Pelodiscus sinensis: one gene and its partners. The protein of the gene in region 2 interacts with the protein of the main gene of each other region in a pairwise test. Links are inferred from orthologs where the notes say so. Each region holds a gene or a part of one and is shown on either strand. Other genes may lie near its edges.

The links.
Region 1: the proteins of HSD17B14 (region 2) and NEK6 interact in binary tests that used the Homo sapiens proteins (3 or more experiments, as listed by UniProt). The two-hybrid records come from large-scale screens. The link is inferred for Pelodiscus sinensis from reciprocal best matches to the Homo sapiens genes HSD17B14 and NEK6.
Region 3: the proteins of HSD17B14 (region 2) and MPG interact in binary tests that used the Homo sapiens proteins (3 or more experiments, as listed by UniProt). The two-hybrid records come from large-scale screens. The link is inferred for Pelodiscus sinensis from reciprocal best matches to the Homo sapiens genes HSD17B14 and MPG.

The regions. Positions count from the first base shown.
Region 1 is NC_134732.1:24,211,267-24,218,914, reverse strand, and holds the start of NEK6 (serine/threonine-protein kinase Nek6), read right to left. Parts: upstream 3,007-7,648; 5' UTR 2,848-3,006; intron 1-2,847. UniProt on the Homo sapiens protein: Protein kinase which plays an important role in mitotic cell cycle progression. Required for chromosome segregation at metaphase-anaphase transition, robust mitotic spindle formation and cytokinesis.
Region 2 is NW_027465977.1:64,099-72,063, forward strand, and holds the start of HSD17B14 (L-fucose dehydrogenase), read left to right. Parts: upstream 1-4,878; 5' UTR 4,879-4,981; coding exon 4,982-5,156; intron 5,157-5,232; exon of another isoform or gene 5,233-5,513; intron 5,514-6,491; coding exon 6,492-6,536; intron 6,537-6,818; coding exon 6,819-6,919; intron 6,920-7,262; coding exon 7,263-7,329; intron 7,330-7,544; coding exon 7,545-7,636; intron 7,637-7,965. Other genes in the region: PLEKHA4 (pleckstrin homology domain-containing family A member 4), read left to right, coding at 7-107, 306-453, 549-628, 1,053-1,214, 1,480-1,675, 2,157-2,782. UniProt on the Homo sapiens protein: Catalyzes the NAD(+)-dependent oxidation of L-fucose, yielding L-fucono-1,5-lactone, which rapidly converts spontaneously to L-fucone-1,4-lactone. Can also act on D-arabinose and L-galactose, with lower catalytic efficiency. Does not use NADPH.
Region 3 is NC_134726.1:4,783,620-4,791,651, forward strand, and holds the start of MPG (DNA-3-methyladenine glycosylase), read right to left. Parts: upstream 3,089-8,032; 5' UTR 2,744-3,088; coding exon 2,702-2,743; intron 1-2,701. UniProt on the Homo sapiens protein: Hydrolysis of the deoxyribose N-glycosidic bond to excise 3-methyladenine, and 7-methylguanine from the damaged DNA polymer formed by alkylation lesions.

The DNA of each region.
Region 1 (7,648 bases), on a different chromosome or scaffold from region 2:
AAAATGTTCAGCAGAATGTTAAAACCCAATAACAGAAGAGTCCCCAAATGGAAAATGTCTGATGGTAGAGAGGTTCTCAGAGTAGAGTCCATACACTAACTAGTAATTGCAGAGCTCCGTGCATGGCCCATGAAACCACAGAAGAGAATAAAGTAGAGAAGGTAAGAGATTTTAGAGCAGTGGCTTTCAATATTTCCAGATTACTGTACTTCTTTCTAAAGTCTGATATGTCTTGTGTATCCCATTGCACCTTACTTTAAAACTTACAAAATCAAATATAACTGATAAGTGACACAGAACACTATTACTGAAAAATGGCTTACTTTCTCATTACCACTATACTGTTATAAAATAAATCAACTGAAATATAAATATTGTACTTACATTTCAGTGTATAGTATACAGAGCAGTATAAACAAATCATTGTCTATGAAATTTTAGTTTGTACAGACTTCACTACTGCTTTTTATGTAGCCCACTAAACTATTCAAATATCTAGATGAGTTGATGTTCCCCCAGAAAACCCCAGAGTACTCCCTTTAAATCAATGTTTTAGAAGATGGTTGAGAACATATTCCATGAGGTGATTTGGCTCTTCCAGAACAGAACAGAAATATACGGAAACCGCTGGCTAAAGTATGTGTGTCAGACAGCACCACCATCTCTAATGTTTTTTTAAAAAAGCAACCTGACACCAACCCACATAAAACCACACAAATAGCCCTATTTTTAGAGAAATTTTAACTTTGCTTACCTCCTGAAACAATGTTGCCTGCTAACACCCTTCATAACAGCACTTATATATCAACAAACCTCCATTAAAGAAGAACATACTGCATTTTAGTGTTATTTCAATCTATCCTCAAATTCATCCAGATAAGTGTTAGTCTCAAAACTCAAGAGTTGCAATACATTTGGGAAGTCACATTACCAAAGGAAGCCATGGCACTACCACTCAACACTTCTCCAACTCCTTTAATTACTTATCTCCTCCTGTCTGCCTTCCTATTTACATTGTTTCTTTCCCCTCCATTAAGACTGATGTCCATGTGATCCCAGTACACTAGCAAAGCGTTTTTCAACTTTTTTTTTGTGAAGTACCTCTTTTCCAAAAAAAGTACCCCCTTTTAAAAAAAATTATAAGTACCCCCAGTACCTACAGTTTTCAGACACACACAAAAATTTTCTACCATTGCAACACATTCGTTTAAACATCTTAATAGTAGCTGGGCGGGCAATTAAATTTTTGGGTGTAAAAAGTATAAAAATAATAAAGCGCTGTAAAACTTAAAACAAAAATTCCATTTTCTCCAAATTTCAGTTGTGTTGACGTACTTCCTCCCCTCCCCGACTTCTCTTGAGTACCCCTAAGGGTACTCGTGCCATTGATTGAGAAACACCGCACTAGCACATTACTTTGTGACACTTATTCCTGACAGCGAGTTCTAGTCTGTTAGGGTTAGTCTACACAGCACCCTAAATTCAAAATAAGACACGCAAATTGCATATCTTATTTCAAATCTTTTTTGAAATAGTTTCTTTTGAAATTTGGTGTGTCTACACAGCACCAAATTTCGAAATAACATTCCATTTCAAGCCATCTCTTATCCCTTGTGCAACATGGTTTACCGGGATGACAAAATAGTATGCCTGTTATTTTGAAAAATATTTCAAAATAATGGGCAGCTTGTGTTGATGTGGGGTTGCTACTTCGGGATACCTCTGGTATCCCAAAATAGCCGTGCAGTGTAGACGTACCCGTTTGGACTAGTCCCCCAGAGGAAGTGATGGACACCCTATTTGTCTGGAACATTTAAAATGAACAAAGGACAAGAATGTCCATTAGGAAACAATCCTGCATTAGCTCTGGAGAGGGTGGGAAGAAATAATATGTCCTAATAGGACTTTTCCCTGTCTCACTCTATGAGTATAAAAGTGACATGGAAAGTCCTTTTATCCTAAAGACACACAAAACCCCTGTGCGGATAGCACACGAAGTGGCCACCAAAGGAAACTTAGGCAAGCAAGTTTAGGCAGCAGCAAAGGCTCCAGCACACCATTCCTGAGCCAGCCCCTAACCTGGCCATTACATACATTCAAAAAGTGACAGAACGAAGACAGGTGTCCCAAGAGAAGAGAGCAAGTCGCATCTGCCTGCGAGATGGACCTTCCCCCTGGCCCCGGCTGAACAGCAGCAAGCCCAAGAGCCACTGAGACAGGAATCTTCCTCAAAGCCCTGCACATCAGTGGCCACCCCGGGCCCCCTCCCACTACAAGCCTTGCCCAGCCCCTGCAGGTCAATGGCCACCCCCCCCCCGTACCACAGGCCTTGCCCAGCCCCTGTGCCCCCCCAGCCAGCTCCTGTGCCCCCCCGTCCCACAGGCCTTGCCCTGCCCCTGTGCCCCCCCAGCCAGCCCCTGTGCCCCCCGTCCCACAGCCCCCCCCCCCGCCAGCCCGTGCCCCCCCATACCACAGGCCTTGCCCTGCCCCTGTGCCCCCCCAGCCAGCCCCTGTGCCCCCCGTCCCACAGCCCCCCCCCCCGCCAGCCCGTGCCCCCCCATACCACAGGCCTTGCCCTGCCCCTGTGCCCCCCCAGCCAGCTCCTGTGCCCCCCCGTCCCACAGCCCCCCCCGCCAGCCCCTGTGCCCCCCCGCCCCACAGCCCCCCCCCGCCAGCTCCTGTGCCCCCCCGTACCACAGGCCTTGCCCTGCCCCTGTGCCCCCCCAGCCAGCCCCTGTGCCCCCCCGTCCCACAGGCCTTGCCCAGCCCCCGCAGGTCCGTGCCCCCCCCGGTGTCCGTAGCCCGGCCCGTTCCCGCGCTGCTCGCGGGGGGAGGGGGGGCTCTTACCTGCCGCCGGGCGCGAGTCCCGGGGCCCCCGCTCCACGCTCCGCCGCGGCGAGTCCCAGCCACAACTTCGCCGCGCGCTCCCGACGCCCCCGCCCGGGCCCGCGCCTGTTGCTCGGCTCCCCCGCCGCGCGGGCGCGCGCCGCCCCAGCTGCCACGCAGGCCCTGCCGCCCGGGAGCGCGCGCGCCGCCGCCGGGGCCCCGCAGGCGAGGGGGCGGGGCGGGGCCGAGGGGCGCGCGCGCTGCTCCCCCCCCCACCCCCCAGCCCGCGCGCTCCGGGAGGGGCGCTTGCGGGGGGCGGGGCCCGAGCGCGGGGGTGCAATGGGGGGGGCAGCTCCGGGCTGCTCTGTTTGTGCAGCGCCGGGCACCCCCGGGGCAGTGGAGCCCCCCCCCGTGGGCGCGAGCGGGTCCCTGGTCTGCCCCAGGGAGGGGCATTTACCCGCCCGGCCCCGGCTGGGGGGTGCAGCTCGTGGGGTTCGCCCCCGAAACTCACCGGCCCGGGCTGGGGGGCAATGCCCCCCCCTCCCCCGGAGTCACTGGTGCACGCGGGCCCCTCGCCCTGGGTTCACTCACACGTGGCTGCCCCCCCCCTTGCTACCCTCCCCCTCAACCTGCGTGGGGGGCAGGAAGCGAGCGGGCGGAGATGAGTTGTCACCGGGGCAAAGGGCTATATTTAGAATTGCTTTCCTCGCCCCGTGCAGTGTTGGGGGGTGTGGTGCATGCACAGCATGCTCACAGAAGAGAACATGAGCTGCCCGCTCCTTCCACACACCTGCACTGAATAGTATGGAAAAGGTAACTAAGCCCACTGAAATCAGTTGAATTACTTTTACAACCCTAGTTTTTCTGTCGTAAATTCTGGGTTTCTGTTCTCCCTCCTCCAGCTCATCCGATGAAGTGGGTTTTGCCCACAAAAGCTCATGGTGCAATATATATATATTTGTTAGTCTGTAAGGCTAGCTCTGCACTACAGCTTTTTTTTCAGAAAAAAAAAAAAAAGCTCTTTTGGAAGAGGCTTTTCTGAAATTTGGCTCATCTACACTGGGCCAAATTTCAGAAAATCCCCCTCTTTCAGAAGATCCTTTCTTCCTCATGAAATGAAGACAGGGCTTCTAAAAGAGCGCATTTGCACTTCCGGAAAAAAAAGTGGGAGAGCAAACATGTTCCCTGGATACAGCAGAGTTTTTCCGGGATACCTCTGATATCCCAGAAAAACCCTGCAGTATACACATATTCTAAGGTACCACAAGACTACTCATTGCTTTTAAAGCTACATATAAGCAGGGCTACCCTCTGAGTAGATAGCCAGTGAATAAGTAGGATTGGGTTCTTAGTGCAAGACTAAAATTTAGGCTTTGCTAGAATTCAATAGGACTTTTCAAAACACAAAAGGAATAGAAATATTTCCATAAAATTTTCAATTTTAAAATAAAATGCTATTTTGTGGTAAAGGGTAGATTTAAATATTTCTCTGCTGTATTTTACAACTAAATATGATAGAGGGTTCTTTTTATTAGTGAAAGAGAATCCAAAGGTGAAATTAACTTATAAATAGAAGGGAAATTAACTACTTTGATTTCTCTATCAAAGCTGGGTGAGAAGCATGAACAAACAGTTTATATGGTGAAAAATACATTTTGTTTATAAAATTACGTTCTTGTAATTTAAAGTGTAGTCTACACTCAAAAAGGTTTGCAGGTAGCTACACGGGTACAGTCTGGACCTCTAAAATCCGGGACTCTCTGGTCCAGCAGGACGACGAATGTTGTTGGACCAGAGAGCCCTAGCTGTCCAGGTTAAAGCACAGCCAGGGCAGGGCTGGCGATGGGGAGCTCAGCCCCAGCGGGTACAGCGCGGTGAAGAGCACAACCCTGGCCAGGGCTGGCAGCAAGGACTGCAGCCCCAGTCAGGACTGGAGGTAGTAGGGCCGGGGGTCAGGACCACAGCCTTTGCCAGGACTGGTCCAATGCAGGATCACAGTCCCGGCCGGGGCTGGAGTCCACTAGGAGTGCAGCCCAGGCTGGCACTGGGAGAACAGGGTGAACAGCACTTGCTGGGGTTGGGGGTAATGGGGCTAGCCCCTGTCCTGGGGACGCAGCCTCGGGCAGGACTGGCACAGAGTGGAGCTGGAGGCAGTGACAGGGAGCGCAGCCCCAACTGGGAACAGAGCCTTGACCTCCCATTGTCCGGCAAACTCCATTGTTCAGGACCCCTCAGGTCCAGAGGGTGCTGGACAAGGGAGGTCCGACCTGTATATTCATATGAGAACCTTCCTAGGTTACACGCATTCAGCTTACGCAGGCAAAACAAAGTCCTTTTGTTAGTATAGATTATGCAAGTTTGATATGCAAAGTAAGCTATACTAGCAAAAGCACTTTTAGTCCAGTAAAGCTACATCTATGCTAGGGCTTTTGCAGGTGTAGAAATGATGCAGTGCAATCCTACCCCTAAACCAAATTGCAATACCACCAAAAGTTTCTAGTTGTAAACTTGGCCTGAGATGTTAGATGGTCCATTATTCTTTGCAAATAAATCTCAGACCTAATAGATTTGTTACTCCAAACATGTCTTGCAGTATATCTATCCATAAAAAGTAATATGTGTAAGGCATCTGCATAAAGCGTATGACTATCAAGATACAATCATCGTGAGATGTATGTACCAGGAATAATGCCTAGAAACAGTGTAACTAGATGGGAAGTATGCTTTATGGACTTGGAGTAGAAGTCTGTGACCAGAAGATAAGTCTTGGTGCTGGCTGATTCCACAAGGAGGGAAGCTATCATCCTGCCACGTTTAGCCAGTGAGGTAATGCAAGGCTCAGTTGTCTGGCCTTATTTCTTCCCAAGACTATCAATGGAATATCATCAGTGACTGCAAACAATCCAAACCACTTGGAGGTAAAAAAGGAACATTACAGCAGACCAGTTTGTCCTGTCTATAAATAAAGATAAAAGACTTTCCTTATAACAGAGGAGGGGGGGAACATATGCAACCTTTCACTGAGGATGCATCCTGGTTCTCCTGAAAAATTGGATCCTGCTTCCAGCCAGCCAGGTCTGCAACAGGCTGAACTTTGGGGGAAGCCTACTTCATGAGGTAAGAAGGTAACTTCATAAGGATAGACCCAGGTTTGTGTTTTATGATCCGTGCTATAAATGCTTTTCTACACCCCTCTCCCCGCTTCTAGTTAATTCTCCATTTTTTTTCACTAAAAAAAGGTAAGTTGATGTATAAGCACTCACAGTTAACACGAGCAGTGATTTAACACAAAACTACTAAACTGGGTCACACTGTTTCTTGGAGGAGGGGGCAAAAGTTTGGGTATTTCTGTGAGTAACCAGTGGCAGGGGCTGGATATCACAGAGGAATGATTGAAAGAGACAGAAACTGAGGTTCACCAGTTCAAAGACAAGACTGGTGTAGCCCACAGGCAAATGCTTACGTGACAAACAAGTTGGCAGTGTCAGGGAGCTAACACCAAGTTGCAACAAAGCAAGACACTCACACCTGAGGCAGGGCATAAGAGAATGACTTACTGAACAGGTTACGCCAAGAGACGTCACAGATGGCATTATGCTTTCTATACGTGTCTCTCTCAGCTAGGATTTTTCAGCTTCCCCACAATACCCACACCTGTTTGATTTCAACACATCTTCCTCCAGTGTATCTCTAATGGTGAAATTCAGGCTCGGGGTAACTTTGAAGCAATCCTTTGATTCTGAAGAGCATTGTTTGAGGCTTGGCTGTAACTATCCAGCTCTAAGGGGTAGTTTTAAAGTTCTTGAGTTCTCATCTTTGACTTCCACTCCCTAATGGCTCCTAAAAGAGGGATTTCTCATCCTAAGGTGGTGGTACCCTGCATGTGGATTTGCATGGCCTGACATAATTCTATCTTTTGACTAGTGTGTGGGCTCTGGAGTGTGTGTGTGGGGGGGGGGGGTTAGGGCTGGGGCAAGGGATTGGGGTGCCAGGTTGGGCATGGACTCACCCCCAGCAACTGTCAGTCAGCAGAGCAGCGGGGAGTCTAAGCCAGGCTTCCCGCCTTCCCTGGTGCCTTAGACCATCCTGTGCCCCGGTAGCAGCCACTAGCAGATCTGAGTCCTAAGCTGAGGTGCGCAAGTGGCTCAGCGTGCCGCTCTCACTCATAGGCACTGTCCTCCCCAGCTCCCAGTGGCTGGTTCCTGGCCAGTGGGAGTATGGAGCCGGTGCTCAGGGGCAGAGCAGTGCATGGAGCCTCATGGCCTCTGGCCTAGGAGCCGGGGCCACTTCTGGGGTACAGTGTGGTTTGTGGTGCCAGAACAGGCAGGAATCCTGCCTTAACGATCCCCATTAGTCACCTGCTCACCTGAGAGCAAAGAGACCCAGTGCCTGGCATTTGGGATGTTACATTTCAATTCATTAACTAATCGAATAGTCAATGGGATTTCCATCAACTATTCCATTGGTCGATAAGAACTAGCACATTCCGTCTTTGAAATGTACAAGAGCCCCTGCAGCAGCTCTTGTGCATTTCAAAGATCGAAATGCTGCGTGGAGCCTGGGGCCAGCGGGGAGTCCCGCTGATCCTGGGCTCCATGCCGGAACTTCCACTTCGAAATGTATCAGGGCCCGAGCTGGGGCTCTGGTGCATTTCAAAGATTGAAACGTCACGTGGAGCCTGGGGCCAGCCTACTGGGGCTCTTGTACATTTCAAAGAGGAAGCGCAGCAGGGAGTCTGGGGCCAGGGGAGGACTCTGAGTCCCCCGGTGCTTCAGCTTTGAAATATGTAAGAGCCCCAGCAGGAACTCTTGTACATTTCAAA
Region 2 (7,965 bases):
TTGCAGGCTTCTCTCCGGCTGCCTCCCCCGTTCTGGAGCCTGGGGGGGGCTCAGCCCAGAGCCCCCTCCCAGGGCCGGATGGAAGGAGCCTTGAGCCATCTGCCAGGGTGAGGGGGGGGCTGCACTCCTGGGGGGGGGACCCATCCTTGGGGAGTGGGGACTGGCTGGGGGAAGAACTGGGGGCTGCTGTCAAAGGGGGCCCCAATTCTGACTGTCCTAGCCCAGCCCCCCAGCCCTGCCAGTGCCCCTCCCTCCCACCCCACAGACCCTGGCTCCCCCCCCCCACGTCTCTCTGTTCCCCGCAGGGCGAGGCAGCTGGCGTGAGGGACGAGGTCCCAGCGACGAGGGGGGAGACCTGGGGCTCCCAGCCCCCCCAGGGCCCTTCTAGAAGAGGGGCTGGGTCCCCCGAGCTGGACGGAGGGCCCCCCCTGCAGGAGACAGACGCGGCACCAGGTGCGGTTCCTCCCCCCTTGCCTAGTCTGTCTGGGGAAACATGCACCCCTCTTGTCCCTTCCCCGCCCCTTTAACCCCCTCCCCTGCCCCCACAGGTCTCCACTCGCCTCCAGCCGCCCCCCGCCCAGGCCCCCTGGAGCCCTGGGAGCAGAGAACCGAGGAGCTGCCAGCCAAGGTAGTTGGGCTCCCTCACTCCCCTGGGAGTCGGTGCCTGGGAGCCCAGATGCCTGGGTTATCTCCCCAGAACAGGGAGGGCCCTGGGGTGTAGTGGTTAGAGCGGAGAGGGGAGGGGCTGGGAGCCCAGACGCCTGGGTTCCCTCCCCAGATTGGGGAAGGGGGTGTGGTCTAATGGTTAGAGCGGAGAGGGGAGGGGCTGGGAGCCCAGACGCCTGGGTTCCCTCCCCAGATTGGGGAAGGGGGTGTGGTCTAATGGTTAGAGCGGAGAGGGGAGGGGCTGGGAGCCCGGACGCCTGGGTTCTCTCCCCACATCGGGGAAGGGGGTGGGATCTAATGGTTAGAGCGGGGGGGAGGAGGGGCTGGGAGCCCGGACGCCTGGGTTCCCTGCAGGTGTTTGGTCTGCGATTCTCCCCTTACCCCAGGAGCGTGTGCCAGAACCCCCTGGTCCCCACCGGGCCCGGATGAGCATTGAGGAGCAGCTGGCGAGGATGCGGCGGCACCAGGAAGGGCAGAGGCAGCATGAGGCGGCCAGGCCGACGCCTGGGGCTCCTCGGCCTGGCTCCCTCCGGACCAGCGCCAGCCGGGTGGGTACGCAGCCTGCGGGGGAGGGGCTGCCAGGGGGTGGGGCATGTCCTGAGGCCACACCCACTGTGCCCCCCCAGTCAAGCTCACCTCCGGCCTGCCAGTAGTGCAGGGCCCCTGGGTTCTTTCCAGGTTCGGAGAGGGGAGCGGGGTCTAGTGGTTAGCGTTAGAGGTGTGTGCCTGGGTTAGGACATGGGCGGGGGGCGGGGCGGACACGCTGAACTGCTTAGATTCCCTCCCTTCACTCCGCCTTCCAAAATTCTCCAGTTCCGCCTTCCAGCTCCCCCTCCCAGCCTCGGGCCGGAGCCAAGCCTGACCGACATGGACGTACCAGTGAGGGGGGGGCAGACCAAGGGACACTGGGGCGGGCCTTCCCTACCCCCCGAGAGAGACCGTCACCGGATCAGGAGCCTGGCATACGCGCTGGCCACCGAGGCCTCTGAGCGCAGCAAACTCATCACAGGTAACAGGGCTGGGGGCCTGGACACTCGGGGGGCGGGGGGGCGGGGTCTAGTGGGCAGAGCAGGGGGCTGGGAACCAGGATGCCCGAGTTTTACCCCCCCCTTTAGGGGCCTCTTTCTAGACCCCCTCCCCTCCCCTCCCCTCCCCTCCCAACGGGAAAACAGCTAAACAAACACAGTGGAAAATGGCTGGAATCTGGTTCAGCTGTTGGGGGAATTTCTGGCTCCGGCTGGCAGGTCCCTGGGGTAGGAACAGCTGGGGGGTGGGGGAGAGTCTGGGGCAGGGGGTGGGGCTGGGCAAGGGGCCCATTTCTCTTTAATTCACTGAAGATCTGAAGGGGTTGCCTCATGCCCAGCCCCGTGCCCCACCCCAGAGGTGGCTGCATCTCCATGCTGGGTGAGGGGTCGCCTATACCCAGCCCCCCCCACCCCAGAGGTCTCGGCTTTGGGGGGGGGTGACTCTGGTTTCCTCTCTCTGTGCAGGGAAGCCCCCGCCTGAACCCCAGCGGGAGGGCTGTGACCCCCGTCTGAACCCCTCCCCAGAGTCGCTGCATGCAGTGACCAATCAGCACTTACCGCTTACCATGATAGCCTCCAGGGAAGACCCAGGGGCCAATCACGTCGTGACTAAACCGTGCAGCCCGGCCAATCAGAAGACGGCATTTACCGCCCAATCCGTGCAGCGGGCAGAATCAGCCAATCAGGCATCGCCTCTAAATCAAGCGGCCAATTGGGCATCGTCTGTTTCTGAGTTTTCTCACTGGTTGTCCGCCTCGCCAGATGCAGCCAATCAGGCCTCGTGTCTGTCGGAGGCAGCCAATCGGGCATCGCCACTGCCGGACACATCGCATTGGGCAGCCCCGTTGCCTGAATTGGCCAATGGGACGTCGACTGTACACAAGGCATCCAGTCGGGCGTTGCCTCCGCTCTGGGCCTCCCAAAAGGATTGTGGGAATTGGGTGCTGGAGCAAAGGATTGTGGGTCACAAAGGCTTGGCCAATGGCAGGTGCCAGGGGCAGGGTGCGCATGCCCCACCCAGCCAGGTGGTGGCGTACCTGTGCGAGGGGAGCCAGCCAATCAGGATAACCCTGCTGCAATCCAGCTTCTAACCCATTGGCTCAGAGGCAGGGTCAAGTCCCGCCCCTTCTCTGCATCATCGGGGGGGGGGGCTATATATGGGGATGTGCCCAAAGGGGAGGTGGGGCTGGGACCCAGGGTCAAAGGTCAGACTGGGGACTCCCTAACCCAGTCACCAACCAGTTGATCTTGGGATCCTGACTGGTTTGGCCGGGAAGCTCTCAAGCGCTGCCCCTCTGCCCCACGGTCCTGCTGCTCCTGCCCTCTGCCTTAGAGCTGCCCCCCAGAGCCTCCTGCTCGCTGTGCAGGGTGTGGGGCGGGCAAGGGGGGGCGCTGATGTCAGGGTGTCTCCCCTCTCCCCCACTTCTGTATCCCATCTCCACACAGAGAGAAGGGGATGGAGGGAGCGTGGCAAGGCAGATCTCACACTGTGTGTGTGTCCGTCTCTGTCTCACCCCCCCCCCCCCGTCCTTCCCTCTCCTCTCCCCACCCAACACACACGTGGGGGGTTGTTACTTTTCCTGCTTGCAAAGTGGGTTCCTTTCGGTTTGGGACAGCTCCGTGCGTGTCATCGTTTTCGTTTCTCTAGCGCGTCAGTGTCATTCTTTGGGCCGTGAGTTCTAAACTGCCGCACCTGCCGTGGCCGGAGTCACCAGCCCCGTGGCCATTGCTGCTGGTGGAGATGGTCCCATGTCCCTGCAGCCCCTGAGGGAGGCAGAGCAGGGGGACTCCACATGCCGACCCCGCTCCTACAGCTCCCACTGATCAGTAACGGGGAACCGAGGCCAGTGGATGCTGTGGGCTCAGTGCCGGTAGAGGAGGGGCAGCACATGGCGCCACGGAGCTGTTGCTGAGCTGCCAGCTGCTTTCAGGAGCGGGGCGGGGGCAGGGTGGACGTCAGCTGCCTTAACCCCCCTGCCCCACCCAGCGGAAACCGCCAGAGTCTGCTCCCTGAACCCCTGTCCCTGCCCCGAACCTTCTCCTGCCCCAGACGTGAGTCCCCCTGCACCCAAATTCCTTCCCAGAACTTGCACCCTGAACCCCCCCGGACCCCGATCCCCCGCCCTTGGCTGAGCCCGGAGCCCCCCCCATGCCAAACCCCTTGGCCCAAGACCAGACCCTGCACCCCAACCCCCTACCCCAGCCTGTGTGAGTAAGTGAGGGTGGGGGAGGAGAAAGGGGCCTCAGAGAAGGGGCGGGGGAAGGGTATGTGGGGGTGACATTGCCCCTCCATCGAACAGGTGACCTTGGGGTTAAAAAGGCTGGAGACCCCTGCCCTAGCCCCATGCAGGGTCCCAGCATCTTGCTGCCCTCTGGTGGGCAGATTGGGAAGTGCACTCCCTGAACCCTCTTCTAGTCCAGCCCCCCACCAGCTCTGCCAGTGCCCCTCACAACCGCCCTGCAGCCCCTGCCCTAGGCTCCCTCCCAACACCCACCCTACAGGAGCTGCAGCGAAGGGGCCAGTCAGGGGCCAGTGGGAAGGGGGATTTGTGGGGTACTGGATGGTCCTCTGCCCCCCACCTGGGCTTTGGGGCCAGCAGATTTCAGCCACAGTCCCAATGCAGCTGGAGTCAGAGACGTGGGAACCTGCTAATTGCTGACAGCCTGCACTCTCCCCACTGCCAGGGGCTTTCTCTTTGGGCGGGGCGAGGGGTCCTTGTGTACCCAGCCCCCGCCCTACTGCAGTGGGGCCCTGGCCCAGCGCCAGTCAAGGGGCCCCTGTCAGTGTTCCCCCTAATCTTTTCCATCTATGTGTGGAATAAATTTTATGTGTACCAATGCATGTGCGGATGTGCACCACCTGTGCGGAAGAAATGTGCGTACCGAAGCATGTGCGGACGTGCACCGCCTGTGCAAACAAAACTGAGCTGTGGGCGCTCTGCCAACCTGCTCGGCTGCAGCTGACTCTCCCCTGGATGGCCGCCCAAGCGCTCAGCTTACAGGGCACACCGGTCCCTGGATACCCAGAACCCCACCCCAGGGGCAGCTGGGAACTCAGCCTCGATTTCCCCTGGACCCTCGGGGCGTTCGTGGGGGCACATCGCAGACAAATGTACTCAATAAATCTCATTTATGTTGCCCTTGTTGAGCCCTTGAATCTCTGAAACTTTATTGCCCAGACAAATCCCCTGCCCCCCATAGCCAGCCAGGCCCTGCCCTGTGGCCGGGTGGGAGCGGCCCCCTAGAGGGAGGATGCCCCGCCCCCGCCGGACAGGACTACATTTCCCAGGATGCACCGCCCCTCATGTGCCCTGCGGGCAGCAGCTTCCCTTTTTCCCTCGCCCCGAGCAGCTGCGAGCCCGGGTGCGCCCAGCACCATGGCCTCGGGGCTGCGCTACCCGGGCCGGGTGGCCATTGTCACCGGGGGCAGCCGCGGCATCGGCGCGGCCATCGTGAAGGAGTTTGGTGCGGGGGGACCTGCAGGGGGGCTGGGGGCATTGCGGGGGGGGGGGCGCTTCTGGGGCCAGGGGCTTGCGGGGGGGGGCGCTTCTGGGGCAAGGGGCTTGCGGGGGGGGGCTGCAGCGGGGTGAGGAAGCTTGGGGAAGGGGGGGCAGTAGGGGGGCGGAGGCGGCCGTGGGGGAGCAGAGCCCTGCGGAGGGGATCAGGGGAGATTTGTGGGGGGCTGGGACATTGCAAGAGGGTGGATGTGGGGCTCCTGGGGGGCTGGGAGTGGGGGGCAGACTCCAAGGTTGGGCTGCGTCTGGCATCTTCGTGGACTTTGTCTGTCTGTCCCGTGTCCATCTATTCGGCCGGTCGCTGACCCTGGGAGATGGGGGGAGGGGCCATGGGTGAAGAACGCGGCAGCGAACCCCCTGCAGCCCCCAAACTCCGCTGCTAACGGGGAGACTGGACTTATTGGGGGGGTCTTCCCCTTCCTTCCCCTCCTCCCTCCCCCTCCCCCTCCCCCTCCATCCCCTTGTTCAGTGGAGACGTGGGGGGGACGAGTTGAGATTAATGTATCTTGAGATGTGTGGGGCTGGCCAGCAGGGGTCAGCAGAGCTGCATCGTCTCCCACGGGCACTGCTGTGAGGAAGCTCGCAGCACCACGCGGGACGTTCCCATCTAGGGCCACTGCTGGGAGGAAGTTCAAATTCCTGGGTGAAGGGGGGCGTGTCCCTGTCTGGGGGCACTGCTGGGGGGAAGCTCGCAGCACCAGGGGGAAGTTCCAGTCTAGGGGCACTGTTGGGGGGGAAGTTCACATTCCTGGGTGAAGGGGGGCGTGTCCCTGTCTGGGGGCACTGCTGGGGGGAAGCTCGCAGCACCAGGGGGAAGTTCCCATCTAGGGGCACTGCTGGGGGGAAGTTCACATTCCTGGGTGAAGGGGGGCGTGTCCCTGTCTGGGGGCACTGCTGGGGGGAAGCTCGCAGCACCAGGGGGAAGTTCCCGTCTAGGGGCACTGTTGGGGGGAAGTTCACATTCCTGGGTGAAGGGGGGGCGTGTCCCTGTCTGGGGGCACTGCTGGGGGGAAGCTCGCAGCACCAGGGGGAAGTTCCCGTCTAGGGGCACTGCTGGGGGGAAGTTCACGTTGCTCTGTGTGTGTCCCGGTCTGGGGGCACTGCTATGGGGAAGCTCGCAGCACCAGGGGGAAGTTCCTGTCTAGGGGCACTGCTATGGGGAAGCTCGCAGCGCTTGGGGATTTACTGGTGCTGGTGTTTTTACTGCTAACTTGATTCTCTCATCTCCCTCCCCCATGTGCTTCTCCATCCCCTGTTGCACCCCGCTTTGTCCCCTCCCCCCCAGTTCGGCAGGGAGCCAATGTGGTCTTCTGTGCCCCCCAAGCTGAAGGTGAGAGATTGCTCCCTGTGTTTCTGGGGGTGAGGGACGTAAAATCCCGTTTAATTGGTTAACCATTCACATCCCTACTGGGACCCCTGTGGCCGAAGTTGGCAGCCTGGGGGGGTGGGGGGGAGGGACTAGTCTCCTTGTGCTGATGGGGGAGGGGGAGAATAGTTCTCTCTCGGCTCCCGAAATCCGTCCTCCTGCCAGAACCGGTTCCCCCCCCTTTCCTGGATAGTCTCCCCACCCCATGTTTGGTGTCTGTGCTCCATAGCCCCCTTTCCCTTGCAGAGGCCATGGGGCGGGCCCTGGAGCAGGAGCTGCAGGAAGCGGGGGGCCCTGGAGAGCCCCATTTCCAGCCCTGTGATGTCACCAGCGAAGAGGAGATCCAGGTGGGTGGGGGAAGTGGTACGGGGGGGGGGGTCTGCTCCAGGGTGGGGGAGGGGCAGATGCAGCAAGTGTATATTACTCTCTGTGCTTTCTGTGGGGGGATGGGCAATACTGGGGGGGGGGGAACCTCAGCTTGGGGCCCAGTGGGTCAAATTCCCCCCACCTGTGTCCTGCTCTGGACCCCCAATTCCTTCTTCCCCATCCCCACACCCATCTCCCTGCTCCCCCCACCTCCATCTCTGCCCCCACCTTGCCCGATTCCCCCACATCCTCCCTCCCCTCCCACACCCAGCCTCTTGCTCCCCTTGCCCCCCGCAACCCCCCACCCGTTCTCCTGCCCCCCAGGCGCTGATCGCGGTGACCTTGAAGCGCTACGGCCGTATCGACTGCCTGGTGAACAACGCCGGCCGCCGTGAGTGGCCCCCCCCATTGGGGGACAGGAGGGGGGGCCCCTGGGGCAGCCCGGGAGTGTGGGGGGAACCCCTGAGCTGGGGGGCTCAAGGGCCATAAAGGGGTGTCATGGGGGGCCCCGCGGACTTGACGGAAGGGGAAATGGGGATCCCAAGTCTGAGTCGGGAGGGGAGGGGGTTTGGGGCCGGAGTCCCACTTTTCACCCCCCACCCGCAGATCCTCCTGAGGAGCAAATTGACGACGTCACCGCCCAGCATTTCCGGGCCCTTCTCGACCTCAACCTGGTCGGCTACTTCCTGATGGCAAAGGTGAGAGTTGCCCCCACCCTGGGAGGGGCTCCCAGAAACCCAGGCCCCTTGCCCCACCCCAGAGCCAGCTGCATCCCAGGGCTAGGGAGGGGCTCCTGTATAGCGAGGCCCCGTGCTCCACCCCAGAGCTGGGGGGGGGGTTCCTGTAATCCCAGCCCCCAGCTCCCACCCCAGAACCAGCTGCATCCCAGGGCTAGGGAGGGGCTCCTGTATACCGAGGCCCCGTGCTCCACCCCAGAGCCGGGGGGGGGGGGGTTCCTGTAATCCCAGCTCCCACCCCAGAGCCAGCTGCATCCCAGGGCCCGGGAGGGGTTCTAATGTGCCCGTCC
Region 3 (8,032 bases), on a different chromosome or scaffold from region 2:
CGGGCAAAGGACAGCTTTCCATAACATGCAAAGGGAGGGGCTGCTGTTCCGAAGCTCGCAAAAGGAGAGTAGCCTCTACAGGCAGCGATATTAAAGAGCTATATTAAAGACTGTTCCCCAGGGGCAGCAGGGCTGAGGCTATGCCATCTTGCCTGCCAGTACAGACCACACTGAGTAAGTAGCCCCCCCCGCTCCAAACCCTTTCCCCCTTCCCAGCCCTTGGCTGCAGCATCAAGGAGGCGAGAGTGAGAGAACAGGCCCCGGGTGGGCTGGGGGGAGAGAACACACTCCTGGCCCAGCACACACCCACATCCTGAAGGCCCTGCCCTGAAAGACTTGGGCAATGCCACGTAAGTCTGCTAGTAGTTAATAAATCTCATAATACTTGGGAAATTCCAGGGGACTGGAAGGAAAAGTTGGGATCATTGGGATAATTATAGGCCAAACAGACTGACAGTGATCCTGGGTAAAATAATGGAATGTCTAATACAAGACCCAACTAATACAGAATTAAAGGATGGTAGAATTAATTCCCAACAAGAAGCAAAATGTTTTGACTTCTGCAAGATTCTGTATCTCATGACATGCTGAGTAAAGCGGTATCATTCAGAAATCCACATAGCACATATTCAATGGATTAGAAACTTGTCAGATTTCAAAATGTCAGTGCTAAAAGAGACTCATCCTCAAGATGCTGGGCTTCTGGTGGGGAGCCACAAGAATCAGTTCTCATTGATAAAGATGTTCAATATATTTGCAATCATCTGGAAGACAATATAAAATCCAATTATTTAAATGTCGCAGATGACAAAAGATTGGGTTGTAATACCTCTGTATTTGACACAGGTGAGATCATTACTGAAATACTATCTCTCTGCTCTAGTTATTTATTGGGCTTGATGAGGAATGTGCAGGGTGAAATTATCTGGCCTGCGTGACACAGAAGATGAGACTAGTGATCATAATGGTCTCTTCTATTTTTAACATTTATGACTTTATAAGTATTGAATTTCCTGTTTTTGCTGAGGATTCTTTGGAGGAGCCAAGAACACCAGTGGTAACTATGGCAATGCTTAACTGAAGGAATGGGATTGTTACTCTTCCTTACTGATTTTTTCCTCCAAAACTGTCAAGCATTTGAGTTAGGTAGGCATTAACAAATAAACAAACCACCACGATTATAAACAGAATAAACACTTCTTCACACAAGTTCCATTTCCTTGGTGCCTACAATGTCATTTTCCTACTAGTTCTTCAGTCATCCACACAGTCTTTAAAGTAGACAATACCTGAATTTCTAATATACTTTTAAGGTTTTTTTGCCAGCACACCTTTACATAAAGAACTGAACAAAACAGCAACCCTTTTATTACTTTTGCAGATTCTTTAAAGTCTGGATGTCAAAATTCATTCACAAGTTAGCAGCCCCAGGCCAAGTGGACATTGCATTAATAAGTTTCCCTAAGAAAGCAGCCAGTGGTTCTGTCACTATGCTCTATGACACAATTCTAACTCAATGCCCCAGTAAGGTGTTATGAGGCATTTTGCTGATGGGGACCCCTTCTTTTACATGAGACATAAAAGGGAGGCACTGATTACTTAGAGCCAAATGATACTCAGACCTCTGTGGTTCAAGAACCAAATTACTAATCAGCATTACCCAGAAGACCCACAGTAGTGTGAATTCATGGTTTCATTCCCCATGGTACTAGGAATATTAAATAACGGTTAATTGAATAGTAGGTTAACCTCATGAATTTTTACTGGTTACTTGACTATTCTTTAGTCCCCGGGGGTGGGGGCCAGCAGCCAGTGCACTCTGGGCCCCACTCCTGAGGAGCCCCCTGCTCGGGTGCCAGGTGGAAGCACCAGGTGCCAGTTTAAAAACCAGCTCCCCTTACAGACCGGATGCACCTCACACTGCTGCCTCTGATAGAGGCAAAAGTGCCCAGTGGCAACAGACCCTATATAGGGGGTGGGTCTGAGTTCCCAGACCGAGTTCAAGCCAGAACTAAGCCAAGGCTGCCTGTCCACCTGGCTCCTAACAAGCTTTAAATACAGAGCTGCAGTGGGGGTAGGTGCTGGGTCTGGCATGAGCTAGGACTGAGCCAGGCTGCTGGCCAGTCTGCTAAAAAATGTACTGGGGGTGGAGGGAATGCATGTAGCCTATAAACGTTTGCTTATCGGTTAATCAACTACACTATTACATCCCTACATGGTACTGTTCATATTTAAGCAACATGACAGGAAATATTTTGTTTTTACATATATAATTCTCACAACAAAAAAGTCAATAACTTGATGCAACTGGATAACAATTAACTGACATAGTAAAAGCATCCTGATTAGTGAACAATTAAATCACGATAGTGATTGTGAACCATACACATACAGCTTGTGAACCATAGTCTGAGTATCACTGTGGTAACCACTGAAGACACTAACACACAATGCTATTTACCTATGTTTACCTCCGTGTCTTCAAGCACTATTAAACTCAGCCCTGACATAGACCTGAAACTTGTGAAAATTTAGGCCAGGTCTACACTAGGGGGCAAAGTGGAACTAAGTCACACTACATGAATAGTGTAAACACTCAAATAGTCCCAAGGAATCAACATGTCTGTTTTTGCAGGACTTGGGATGGAACTTCTCAGGTGGTTTCAGACTAATACAGCTAATCTTCCCTTACAGTCCTAACCTGTTTGTGCAAGGCTGCTGTTGGGCAGTAGCCGCATTCCATGTGCACAGCACACACTCCACAGCAGTGAAAAATGGAAACCCGGCTTTAAGTTCTTGCTGGAGCATCTGCACCCTAAGCTGCTGGGAGAGCAGCCCTTTCCCGGAGCACAGACAGAACTTTGCAATGCCCAGTGCACACTTCCCAGGCTGAGACCTCAGCTGCCTTCAGAGGACGGCAGCCCTGCCCCTGACTTCGGGCTGTGCACACAGGGACAGGCGACTCCTGGCGTGGCACATACAGCCCATGTACACACCAGGGCCTGTCTCAGGGCCACAACCAAACCAAGCTGGAGGGAAGCTACAGTTGGCCTGTACCCCGTGCCCCACCTCCCCCAACTGCCGCCGGGGAGGGGGTGGGCCTGTACCCCGTGCCCCACCTCCCCCACTGCCGCCGGGGAGGGGGTGGGCCTGTACCCCGCCTCCCCCAACTGCCGCCGCGGAGGGGGTGGGCCTGTACCCCGTGCCCCACCTCCCCCACTGCCGCCGGGGAGGGGGTGGACCTGTACCCCGTGCCCCTCCCCCAACTGCCGCCGGGGAGGGGGTGGGGCTGCAGCCAGTGCCCCGCCTCCCCCAACTGCCGCCGGGGAGGGGGTGGGCCTGTACCCCGTGCCCCGCCTCCCCCAACTGCCGCCGGGGAGGGGGTGGGCCTGTACCCCGTGCCCCGCCTCCCCCAACTGCCGCCGCGGAGGGGGTGGGCCTGTACCCCGTGCCCCGCCTCCCCCAACTGCCGCCGCGGAGGGGGTGGGCCTGTACCCCGGGCCCCGCCTCCCCCAACTGCCGCCGGGGAGGGGGTGGGCCTGTACCCCGTGCCCCGCCTCCCCCAACTGCCGCCGCGGAGGGGGTGGGCCTGTACCCCGGGCCCCGCCTCCCCCAACTGCCGCCGCGGAGGGGGTGGGCCTGTACCCCGTGCCCCGCCTCCAACTGCCGCCGGGGAGGGGGTGGGCCTGTACCCCGGGCCCCGCCTCCCCCAACTGCCGCCGCGGAGGGGGTGGGCCTGTACCCCGTGCCCCGCCTCCCCCACTGCCGCCGGGGAGGGGGTGGGCCTGTACCCCGTGCCCCGCCTCCCCCAACTGCCGCCGCGGAGGGGGTGGGGCTGCAGCCAGTGCCCCTCAATTGCCGAAGAGCCCGGGGGAGGGCTGCGCCCAATGCCCCTCCCAACTGCCAGAGACCCCCGGAGACGGAGGAGGGGGGAGTCAGTGCGGGCGGCTCACCTGGGCCCGCGCGCCTCCAGCCGGCGCTGCGAGCGGGGGGAGGGGGGGGCGGCGAGGCCAAGCTCGGGAGGAGGCGCGCCGAGCTCCACCGGAAGGACCGCGCGCTGCCGGCTCCGCAGCCCCGCCCCGGCGCGAAACTCCCCCTCCCCCCCCCCCCGCACCTGCGGTCAAAGCCCACGGCCCCGCGCTCTCCTCAGAGGAGACCCTCCTCCGCCCCCCCTTGTTACTATGGGCCTGGCTGCGGGGCTGCCCGGAGAGCGCAGGTAAGGGGGAGCTGGCAGAGCGCACTCAGACCCTGCCATGGTTCGCCCGTCAGGAGCCTTCTGTGAAATCCTGTGATCCGCTTCCACTGCCCCCGCGTGCCCGCCGCCGCCTGGGGAAGCGATCCTGTACCCACAGGGTTAACCTGGGCTCATGGGGGTGATCTGGTCTCCCACACACACTTCTCCTCCCCCCCCCCCCAAGCACCAGCTCCACCTACCCCCCCCCCCCCCGCTGCTGCCACTGATGGAGAGAGGGAGTAGGCTGGAGCCAATATGCACCAGGAGCAGCTCTGTGGGCCCCCTCCCTCCCCCTTGCTGCCTCCTCCAGAGGCAGCGCGGAGGGTGCTGGGGGAGCCAGCTTAAATGCTGGTTCCCTAGGGTTACCATTTTTGAACTTTCGAAAAAGAGGACACTCCTGAGAGGGAGCGTGTCAGTATCCACCAACTGCTCAGGTTGTATTAATGTGTCATAGTGGGGCAGCAGGCAACCAGTCGGCCTGAGGAGATGGTTTTTTTAACTGGCTCCCTAAACGGACCAGCTCCGCCTGCCATTCCATGCTGCTGTCCCTGATACAGAGGTAACAGTGCAGGGGGGCTCCCCTGGGACTATCAAATAGTGGTGTAACCACTAAAGTGTCATGTGATTACATGACGATTCAATTACACGATATCTAACCTACCTACCTCCACATCTCAGGCACGTTAATTACCTTATTATATAAAATCCAAGGTGCTTGCCCACCCCTACACCATCCCCAGGCAAAGCAATTCTTGTATCCCTTGCTCTTGGGACCAGCCTCCCACACCACAGATCATTTTCCACCAGATGTGTTAGCTGCAGTTTTCCCAGCTGAATCTCATTGCTATTTTTAACCCCTGTTTCTAATCTGCAGGAGAGGACCATGATGGGGTATATATCTCATCACAGTCCTGAATAGATAGAAAGGGCCTATTAACCCTATAACAGGCTATCCCTGGAATATAGTCAGAGCTGCTAACCTCTTAAGTGATTAATCACAGTGGGGCAGAGGCATGCAGAGCTTATATAAAACGCAAGAAGGAGGATGGTGCAAGATAGGGGCTATGGGGAAAAAAGGGGGTGTTAAGTAAGAGACAAAAATAATCCTTGGGAGTCTTACCTGGGAATAGAGATGCTGGCCAGAACTAGAGGGAGGATGAAGTAACCACTGTGATGGGTTGGATCACAGACATCCCCTTCAGAATGTCACTGATGTGCTGATCATACCACTGAGCTCGCCTACCCTGTCCTGCTGGGCCAGAAGCTCTGGTCTCCCCCAGCAAAGGCACAGAGTTGGGATAACAGACCCTCAGCACAGTAACACAGACACTGATAATAGCTCATCTCTCTGAGGGCTCAATAACAGGGACTTGACAACACTTAGGAGTACAGCCTCAAATAGGGACCAGTCCCCCCAGTAAATCTGTCTTACTCTGAATAAAAGTTTTACACAGAGAAAGCTCATAAAATTTGTTCTCTTTATCAATGAAATAGATGTACACATCTGTTGTCCCTGTCCCCCAAGTAACAGTTATTTACACTGGGTTGATAATAAACAAAAGTGATTTTATTAAGTATAAAAGGTAGGATTATAATGATTGCAAGTGGTGACAGAGCAAAGTAAGTTAATAAGCTAAAATAAACAAAATATGCCAGCTAAGCCTAATACACTGAGAGAAATTGTTACATAACTTAATTCCTCCCCGTAGTTCTTACTTCAGGTAAAATTCTTCAAGTCAGAGTTCATCTTTTCTCTGACCTGGGCCTAACAGCTGCTCCCGTTGTTAGGGTTGTTTCTCGGTCTCTTCGGCTATGTCTACACTCGCGACTTCTTGTGCAAGTATGGCTGTTCTTGCACAAGAATCCGCAGAGCGTCCACACGGCCCGCCCGCTCTTGCGCAAGAAGATTTACAGTACGGTGTGGTAAGAGAGGGCTTCTTGCGCAAGAGCTATGCTCTTTTTTAACAGGTGTAAGCCCTCTTCGCAGGCTCTCTTGTGCAAGAGGGCAGTGTGGACGCTCGGCAGGGATTTTTTGCACAAGAAAGCCCTATGGCTAAAATGGCCATCAGAGCTTTCTTGCGCAAGAGAGCATCCACACTGCCATGGGCGCTCTTGTGCAAAAGCACAGGTCGCACATGGCAGTGTGGACGTTTTCTTGCGCAAGACTTCTTGCACAAGAACCCTTGCACAAGATGTTCTTGTGCAAGAAGCCACCAGTGTAGACATAGCCTTCATGTGTCCTCTTGTGGAGGGGAGCAGTTTGTGAAGCTAGTTAAAGACAATCATATATTGATTCTGTTCCTTAAATACAATTTTCCCAGTGTGGGAAGTCTTTGTTTCATCCTCCCCATCCCAAAGGAAAAAAAACAGATTCAGGCAGCATGGTCACCGGTCTTTGTAGGAACAACTAGGCTGTGTCTAGACTGGCCAGTTTTTCCGGAAAATCAGCCGCTTTTCTGGAAAAACTTGCCAGCTGTCTACACTGGCCGCTTGAATTTCCGCAAAAGCACTGACGAACTCATGTAAGATTGTCAGTGTTCTTGCGGAAATACTATGCTGCTTCCGTTCAGGCAAAAGTCCTTTTGCGCAAAACTTTTGCGTAAAAGGGCCAGTGTAGACAGCTCAGATTTGTTTTCTGCAAAAAAGCCCCAATCGCGAAAATGGCGATCGGGGCTTTTTTGCGGAAAAGTGCGTCTAGATTGGTATGGACGCTTTTCCGCAAAAAGTGCTTTTGCGGAAAAGTGTCCGTGCCAATCTAGACGCTCTTTTCCGAAAATGCTTTTAACGGAAAACTTTTCCGTTAAAAGCATTTCCGGAAAATCATGCCAGTCTAGACATAGCCCTACAGTTTAGGCTTACAGGAAAAACAAAACAAATTACAGATTGTTGCCTCAAGCACTGGGCCATTAAGTTCCTTAATTACCACTATTGGCTTTTACTAGAAGACTTAGTTTAATAAGGAGGTTTACACTTCTTATTTATAACTTCACATGCAAGAAAGATATATGCACACAAACAGAATCTACACATGCAGGGAATCACACGTTCTTGAAGGATAGGTTACTTGCCCCATTCTGCATAAAGCATATTTTAGTTATGCATATTCATATTCAAAAGCATATTTTGCATAAAAACATGGGGTGTAACATCACAGCCAAATGGAACAGAGGATGTTCTATTGGTAACTATTGGGCCAGCAGAGGGACACAGTAGATGGGGAAAAAACAACAGGGTCTAATATTGGATAGCATGTGGTTTTGGGGCTGGAACTTGGAGTGAAAGGTAAGCCTGGATGCTTCTACCAGCTACCAGAAAAGTGGCACAGTCTAGGTGGTGTAACAGAAGACTGCCTGACACATTTGTACTTTGATACCCCAGAAGAGGAAAACTGTATTCATCTGGCTACAGGGCCAAAATTGAGAGGGACTAACAGAATCCAGGGAAAGAGATGGTCTGGGTGTTGGAAGGAAGTATGTGTGCTAGGACTACATGTAGCTGTATTTCTCCAGCCTAGTAGTTGTGAAAAGAAGTTTGTTTAGTAGTAAAAACCTATCTTATTTTCTATACAGACTGTTATAGGCTTTTCAATTAATCTGAGCCAGAGTCCTCTTCTGTAAAAATCTACAGCTAGTCAGCTTTTGCTAGTGATTTTTCATTTTTCTGAGTTGACTGGAATTCTTGGATGGCCTGGAAGATGAGGCCCATCTTGTGATGGAGCTAGTTAGAAGCCAGGATCTCAAAAGGGCTGGCTTCCTTGGACGCAAGAATCTCTGACAAGCAATCAGGAATCATGGTCAG